Rattus norvegicus: one gene and its partner. The protein of the gene in region 1 binds, or shares a complex with, the protein of each later gene. Links are inferred from orthologs where the notes say so. Each region holds a gene or a part of one and is shown in the gene's direction. Other genes may lie near its edges. The genes, in order: Prmt5 and Wdr77.

What was found.
Region 2: Prmt5 (region 1) and Wdr77 share a complex: the UniProt entries of both Homo sapiens proteins name them as parts of the methylosome complex. The link is inferred for Rattus norvegicus from reciprocal best matches to the Homo sapiens genes PRMT5 and WDR77.

The regions. Positions count from the first base shown.
Region 1 is NC_086033.1:31,945,307-31,949,782, reverse strand, and holds the start of Prmt5 (protein arginine N-methyltransferase 5), read left to right. Parts: upstream 1-1,470; 5' UTR 1,471-1,484; coding exon 1,485-1,594; intron 1,595-2,203; coding exon 2,204-2,322; intron 2,323-2,624; coding exon 2,625-2,710; intron 2,711-3,248; coding exon 3,249-3,383; intron 3,384-4,007; coding exon 4,008-4,120; intron 4,121-4,249; coding exon 4,250-4,299; intron 4,300-4,476. UniProt on the Homo sapiens protein: Arginine methyltransferase that can both catalyze the formation of omega-N monomethylarginine (MMA) and symmetrical dimethylarginine (sDMA), with a preference for the formation of MMA.
Region 2 is NC_086020.1:196,130,145-196,133,955, forward strand, and holds the end of Wdr77 (methylosome protein WDR77), read left to right. Parts: intron 1-91; coding exon 92-146; intron 147-584; coding exon 585-656; intron 657-1,274; coding exon 1,275-1,383; intron 1,384-1,843; coding exon 1,844-1,912; intron 1,913-2,642; coding exon 2,643-2,802; 3' UTR 2,803-3,709; downstream 3,710-3,811. UniProt on the Homo sapiens protein: Non-catalytic component of the methylosome complex, composed of PRMT5, WDR77 and CLNS1A, which modifies specific arginines to dimethylarginines in several spliceosomal Sm proteins and histones.

The DNA.
Region 1 (4,476 bases):
ATACTGCACAAGGTCCTAGAGCAGCAAAAGGAGGGGAGGTGGTAGTGGTGGAGGTGGCAGGGTACAAATGCACCCTCAACACCCTCACGGGACGTTTTCTTAGTTCTCTGGTTTCCTGACTTTCACATGACCCAGGACTCCATGTCCTTTCTGTATTGCTAAGAGCACTGTCCTCCAGAACCCCTAATCTCACTAGTCATGTCCAAATATTGCCTGGTTCAGGTCTCTCTAGACGACCAGTTCAGCCTATCCAGTCCCCAAATACGATTCTCCCTGACCTCTACCCACTGCAGGGACAAAACGATGAACGTCGTCATTGTTGTCATTATTATTATTATCATTATCATTAATTATTTTCTCCTGGCTCCTTGTTAGTTAGTCCCTGAATTCTGTCAATGTCTCCTGTCGTGGATATCGTGATTAGTTTTTGTTTTGCTTTTGTTTTTGCTTTTTTAAGTCAGTGTAATACAAGGCGAATTATTTGGGAAGAGGGAACTTCAGCTGAGAAAAGAACTCCGTCAGATTGGCTGGAGGGCCCTCAGTATCTATGGGCTTGTTGTCTTCAGGGATGTGTTTCCCTTTTCCCTTCCTAGGTCTTTCCTTGCCTCTGTAATTTCCTTTTGCTCGTGCGAGCAGCTGTTAAGAGTGGGAAATGCAGGTTCATGGTTCCTGGGCACTGTAATTTCTGGTGAATTTCTTTTCTCTGAGGTGTGTGCGCACGCGAAGATATTTACTTACATTCGTGTTTGGGACAGAATCAGTAGGAATTAGTGGGTGATTTACTACAGTCTATTTTTTAAGTGTAGCAAAACAATGAGACAAAACTCATTTTAATAGTCCAGTCACCAAAATTTTCATACTCAGAATAACTTGATTATATACAAAACAGCTTTGAAGAGAGGAATGAGAAAGGCCAGCATTAGATGGGTGCAAAATCGAACCAAGACCTGAAAACCACAGCGTGAAAGAAATAGCAGAGGATATAAAAGAAAGACGTTTTGAAGTAGCAACATTGGGAGATGATTAGATTAGCAAGGGATGCAAATAAAGGAGTACCAGTCCCAACGAGCCAGCCAGGAGTCGAACCTGGAATCTTCTGATCCGTAGTCAGACGCGTTATCCATTGCGCCACTGGCCCGCAGACATTACAGGCCGGCCCAATAATGATACTTCAGACTTATCCCGCAGGGCTGCATGGGACCTGTAGTCTCACTAGAGCGCTACAGATGGACTGGGCATTCTGGGAGATTGCAGAGCGTCAGCAACGAGAGCCTGTCATTGGTAGAGCAAGGGTGCCACGCCCATGTCACTGTGCGGTCTGCGGATTGGTGGGAGCAGCGACTTGGTCCCTCCACCTCCGCTTTGGGGCTGTAAAGACGCTCTGGTTGTTAAGGCGACTTGTCCCGCCTCCCCGGGACTGTTCTCCGCTTTGTGATTGGCCTCTAATAGCAAGGAATCCCGGCGTGGGCTGCGCGAGGGAAAAGATGGCGGCGATGGCAGTCGGAGGTGCTGGTGGCAGCCGCGTGTCCAGCGGGAGGGACCTGAATTGCGTCCCTGAAATAGCTGACACACTGGGTGCTGTGGCCAAGCAGGGGTGAGGGCCGGATTTCCTCCAGAGGAGTGCGGGATCCAAATTTGGGGAACAAGGAGGGCAGACTAGTACCTCGCAGGGGATGAGGGATTGAGACACCATTACTCCTTGAGTGGGGAAGACTTCGGCCCCAAGAACGAGAGGTTGAAACTCTGGGGGGCGTGTGGTCACGGAGTTCAAAAGTCAGGGGAGTTACAGGGCAGATTTAAAAAGGGATGTACAGTAGGCCTTGGAGACGGATTATTTGAGAGTAGAGAGAAGTATAAGGAGGCGAGCGAGAGAAGAGGTTAATCTGGCTTGAGGAGGCATGGGCAGTGTTGGGACAGGTCTAAATTTGACAGTCCTGGAAAGCCAGTGAAGTCAGGGAAGAAAGAAATCTACTTGACTTCTATGTCCATTTCTTGCTCATCGGTTCATGATTGTGTTTTGGGAAGAAATTGATGCACAGTGTTGTGAAAGTGATGTGTCCCAAGATGGGCTGAACTCAATAGCCCGTGGGGTGACTGATGATGGCTTTATGGAACTGTGCAAAATCAAGATATTAATATCCCAGTTGCTTGGATCTCTGGGCCCTTACTTTACATGATGATTCTGGGTCTGTCACGGTTGTAGGTTTGATTTCCTCTGCATGCCTGTCTTCCACCCGCGTTTCAAGAGGGAGTTCATTCAGGAACCTGCTAAGAATCGGCCTGGCCCCCAGACACGATCAGACCTACTGCTGTCAGGAAGGGGTAGGGACCTTACCCTGTGCCCCTTAATTATTAGAGGCAGTAATATCTTCTGCTTTATAGGACTTAATTTTCCTCCTCTGATTTGGTTATATATTGGCTAGCCCCTATGACATAAATAACAACTTTTTTTCCCCTTTCTTTCTAAAAGTTGCAGTCCCCCCATTCTTCATCAGGCTATCCCTCTATCAGAGAGAAAAAAGTCTTGCTTTTCACCTCTTTACTCTCTGCTGAGAACTAGAAGTTGAGCAAGAAAATGCCAAACCCCATTGAATCTTTGTCTTTTCTTGGGTGGGGGAGTGCAGACTGGAATACGCTAATTGTGGGAAAGCTTTCTCCATGGATTCATCCAGACTCAAAAGTGGAGAAGATCCGAAGGAACTCTGAGGCGGTAAGGCAGTTTAATTTCTCTGTGGGATCCCTTTAAAAGTTAGGCCTGACCTGGGTATTGTGGCACCTATCTGCAATCTCAAGCATCTGGGAGGCTATTCCCACATCTGGAAGATAATGAGGGAGGACTGAGAATTCCATGCGGGGAAAAGAAAAGGACATAAAGTAATTCTGTCACTAAACTAGGTTAGGAGAGTAACCTGGTAAATCATAGTACAGTTAAGTGTCTGAAGAAATGTGTGATGGCTTACATCTATAATCTCAACAGAGGTACATCTCCAACTCAGCGAATCGCTGAATTCCAGACCCTGTTTCAAAAGAGGAAACGTTTGGCTCTGGTGGAGTATGGCAGCTTACAGCCGTAATCCTAGCATTCTGGAGAGTGAGTGAGGACTCCTTCAGATTCCAAGTCAAGCTGACTTATGGAGAAAATTCCAGAACAGCCTGGGCCACAGTGTCAGAGCCAGTTTCTACTCTACCTTACCCCAGAAGTATTTGGTTCTTAGCTCTTAATGGTTTTCTTTCATCCTATGTTTCAGGCTATGTTGCAGGAGCTGAATTTTGGGGCATATCTAGGTCTTCCAGCTTTCCTATTGCCCCTTAATCAGGAAGATAACACAAATCTGGCCAGAGTTCTGACCAACCACATCCACACTGGCCACCATTCTTCCATGGTATGACTGAGGGTTCTTTCCTACTGTGTATCACGCTAGCTGTACCTTTTGCCCAGTTATGCTCCCCCCGCCCCCCGCCACGTGCATTTGGCAGAATTGAAATGTCAGTACTGTTCTTCCCCCACCCCGTCTAAAAGCGGTGTGCAGAGAGTTTCAGAACATAGCTTATGGGGCTAGAGATGTGGCTCAGTGGTAGATCACTTGCCTAGCACACAGGAGCCTCTGGGTTTGAGTCTTAGTACTATAAAACTAAAGATAGAGAAAATACTTAATTATTTCTATTTAAAGTAAAAGACAAGCTAAGTCTTTGTATAAGGATATGTATGAGATCAAACACGTGTAATCACATTTAGAAAAGCATATAGGGCTGGAGAGATGGCTCAGTGGTTAAGAGCACTGACTGCTCTTCCAGAGGTCCTGAGTTCAAATCCCAGCAACCACATGGTGGCTCACAACCATCTGTAATGAAATCTGATGCCCTCTTCTGGTGTCTGAAGACAGCTACAGTGTACTTCTATATAATAAATATAATAAATAAATCTTTAGAAAAGCATATAAAGAGATTAACTTCTGGACCCACTGAGTTCGAAACAGCGCTTTAACAGGGTACCTGTTCATATTTAGTTCTGGATGAGGGTCCCCTTGGTGGCCCCAGAGGACCTGAGAGATGATGTAATTGAGAATGCACCAACTGCACACACAGAGGAGTACAGTGGAGAGGAGAAGACGTGGTTGTGGTATGTCTCTCTTGCTGCTTTACCTGCACAGGGCGGGGTGAGGACTATGGGGAACGGATTTCGAGTGTTCCTTGAGTTATAAGCCATATGCATTTGACAGGGTCTTTCTTTGTTTCTGATTCTGGGCAGGTGGCATAACTTCCGGACTCTGTGTGACTATAGTAAGAGGATTGCAGTAGGTAAGTCCACAGGGTTCTGAGATGTAAGTGGCCTCCTGGGAATGAGAATCAGCAGGCTGGGCATGGTGGCCCACCACATTTCATTTCAGAACTTGGGAATTGGAGGCAGGCAGATCTCTGGGAGTGTAATTAACGCTACCCTGGTCTATATAATGAGTTCCAGGATAGCCAGGACTA
Region 2 (3,811 bases), on another chromosome or scaffold:
TAACCCTTAGTAGGCCCAAATCCCTGGTCTGGAGCTTGGGGAGTAGATGCTGTTTTGGATTGTGTAACCCTTTCTCTATTCCTTTTCCTAGGACAGTAGAATTTTGCTCTGGGATACCCGCTGTCCCAAGCCGGCATCACAGATGGGTGAGTCTGAGCTCCATGGTAAGGAGGAAGTGGTAATGGGGCCCACGTGCAGGAGGCTTTTGCTGCTCACAGTCACAGCAGAACTCTTAGATGCCCACCCTCTGACAACACTGTTTTCTGTCTCACTGAGACTTTGCTGACCACAGTGCATGGGGTACCCAGAGTAAGGGTTAGTTTCCATGTGTAGTTTACTGTGCAAACAGCTGGGCAAAGGGTCAGGGTTATTATTTTTATGTCTTGTGCTTTTAGTTGTACAGGAGATGGCAGGAGATGGATGGGTAGATGTAGGTGTAGGCTCAGGGGTGAGGACATACATGACTGCTCTGGCAGTCTTTAAGAAACTCAGTGAAAGTGCTCCCAGGATTTACTGACTTCTTTTGGAAGAAGCTTCTTCTAGGTTGTGACCATTGTTCCAAATCTCCCTTTTTTCCCTTCCAGGCTGCAATGCCTCTGGCTACCTCCCTACCTCCCTGGCTTGGCATCCTCAGCAGAGTGAAATCTTTGTCTTTGGTAAGGCAGCATGACGTATCGACTCTGGGAATGGGGCGGATACCTTGGAGTACATGCTCCTGTCAGCACACTTGGGCACTGCATGGATTATGTCGGTTTTACCTAGCTTTGGAGACCATCATTTTTTCCTAATAGGTTTGCTTCATTGTTTCAGCTCCTTTATTCTGGGCATGGTTAGAAATCAGTGAGCTGCATAGCAAGTGCTTGCTGTTAGGGAACTATGTTCTGCTGTGGTGTGACTACACATGGCAAGAGTTTGTAGTTAATGTAATAACTTTATCCAGTAATTCACAGCCACATAGTGACTGACTGATTCTATATCACAAAGGAAACTGTTGTCTACATCTTGAGAAACTAGGATTCATTCAAATCTCCCATCTGACTGACATCAGTGTCTATGGCTTTTTTTTTTTTTTTTTTTTTTTTTCCCTTCAGCCAAGACAGGGTCTGTATGTAGATGTAGTTTGGACTGTCCTAGAACGTGATAGGCCCAGTTGGCCTTGAACTCTGAGATCCTTCTGCTTCTGCCTCTCATCACATACTAGGATTAAAGGTGTGTGCTACTTAGCCCAAATCATAAATTCTTAACCACTGTGACATGCTCTCTTTCTTCTACAGGTGATGAGAATGGATCTGTCTCCCTTGTGGACACCAAGAATGCAAGCTGCACCCTCAGCTCAGCTGTGCACTCGCAGTGTGTCACTAGACTGGTGTTCTCTCCACACAGGTACTGTTTGTTACCAGGAACCTGGAAGGGATGGGTGGGGACTGTAATGAAAGAGTAGGAGTGGAGTGATACAGGGATGTGTCTATTTGGCAAAGCGTTAGCTGCTTACATTGGACCTCAGATAGGGCAGTACTCTAACCTGGTTTTCCTAAGCTTGTCCAGATAGTCTTTATTTGGTTTGTGTAGTTTGGAAAGACCTAAGATGTAATCTCACTCCTGCTCAGAGCCTGTGGGTGGGTAATTGCTAATGTAGGGAGGACCCTTGGGCTGGTTGGTTTCCGTGAGCACTGGCTCTGTTCCATCTTCCTTGGATGTAATGGTGGTAAGATCTGAACCCAAAGTGGGCATCAGACTGCCCTCTCCCCGGCTCACTTTACAGTGGGGTTGGGGCTGGCCCTGTTAGATTTCGGTTGTAGAACCTATGGGCATTATCTTCTCTTCCCTTTGTGTCCTCTCCTAGTGTTCCCTTCCTGGCCTCTCTCAGTGAAGACTGTTCACTTGCTGTGCTGGATTCAAGCTTTTCTGAGGTGTAAGTTTGAAGTAGAATCCTGTGGTCGGGAATCAGGGATCAAGACCAGTAGGCAAGCAAGTCTGTTTTCTCTTCAGGAACATGCATGTAGAATTCTTCCTTTGTTGGGTCTGGAGAAATGGCTCAGCAGTTTAGAATACCTTTGTTTCTAACATCTGCATCAGTCTGTACATAGCTGTTTGTAACTCCAGATCCAATGCATATGATACCTGTGTGCGTCCGCACTCAGTTGCACACCCACCCACATGGAGATTATTAAAAATAAGTATAAATACAAGAAAATTCTTCATCTTTGTCTGCAGAGATATCCCCTCCCCCAAGTCGTCTCTGTTTGCAGCTGTGTGTCTAAGACCGAGTGCTGGAAGCTGTCTGATTGTAGGCTGTTTACCAAGCGCTCCAGCTTCATGCAGGGCGCCACTTCTGAGAAGTGGAACTTGCTGTAAAGCACTGGATGGAAGGCCTGGGTGTGTCCCTCTGCCATAATTTCCTGTTGACTGTGGGCATTATTGCTTCCGATTCTGTCCACCATTTCTTCACCTAAGAAAGTAGACTGGATTGGATAATCTAACATCCACTGGCCTGGTGATGGGGCTGTGTAGATGGTGAAATGTTTCAAAAAATGTGTCATAAGTGTATGTTATTAGTTTTTTTTTTAATTTTTTTTTTTAATCGTTCCTCCTGGGTTTTCATCTTTTCTCTTACCACACCACATTTTCCCCTCTTGTTCTAGGTTTAGAAGTCGAGCCCACAGAGACTTTGTGAGAGATGCTACATGGTCTCCACTCAATCACTCCCTTCTTACCACAGTTGGCTGGGACCATCAGGTCATCCACCATGTTGTGCCGTTAGAGCCTCTCCCAGCCCCTGGACCTGACAGTGTTGTGGAGTAGAATGGATTGCAGAAGAAAAGAGCCTTCTGTCTGCAAGTGTCGACTCGCTTGCCCCTGCCTTCCATTTGTGAGAGAGAGAGCACAGGAGCCTTGTAGAGCATGATTACTCCCTAGTCCCGTGCAGTAACTAGTCAGATTCTCAGCCTGAGGGAGGCTGCATCCCATAGTGACTTGGAGGAAAAAGCTTCCTTTATAAATGGATGTATGTGTGAGTACACGTGTGAGTGCAGTGTATAGTTTGGAGTGGAGAAAATTATCCTTCAGCTTTCCCAAAGCAATGCTCTTTACCCCCGACAAAATGACCAGAGGATTTTATGCTTCCCATGTCTGGGGGCTGACTATGTTGTTAGGGATATGGAGTGTGGGTATCCCTGGATGCTTGGGAATACTTCACATTACTCAGAGGTGCGTAACTTATTTTTATATAGAGTTTAATTCACTATATGGGAATTACTTCCCATATACAAAAGTCTAGCCAGACTACCTTGAGAAGACAGAACAGTTTTGTACGAATGCCTGTTAAATGGAATCAAATCCACTTTCTGGGTGAATCAATTTGGCCCTTGGAGTTCGCGCTCGCTCACCCTGTGTTCCTTCTTTTGTGTTGTGTATGAGAGATGAGTGCTTTCCTGTCCTAGATTTCACAGTTTTAGGGATGATGGAGTACTTAAATTAAAAGTGTTTCAGTGAAGCGAGAAGATTGACATGGATTGTTACAGAGAAATCTGTCATTGTCATTTTTCCCACCTAAAAATTCCCTGAGGACTGATCTGGGTACTTTGCTCTGGAGAGCTGAAGTCTGAGCGCTGTATATTTGGACTCCTAAGATTGAAGATCCGGCATCAGAGAAACTGTCAAAAATACTGGAAGGTGAAATAAAGACTTATCCTTTCATCTTTCCTCCAAAGCTTATTTATTACCTGCTTTGCTTAGGTGAGTCACCTGAGTATCAATCAGTCTTAACTGCCCACTGTCTTTGTAGTCTACTGTTCGCAGAACATCTAGAACT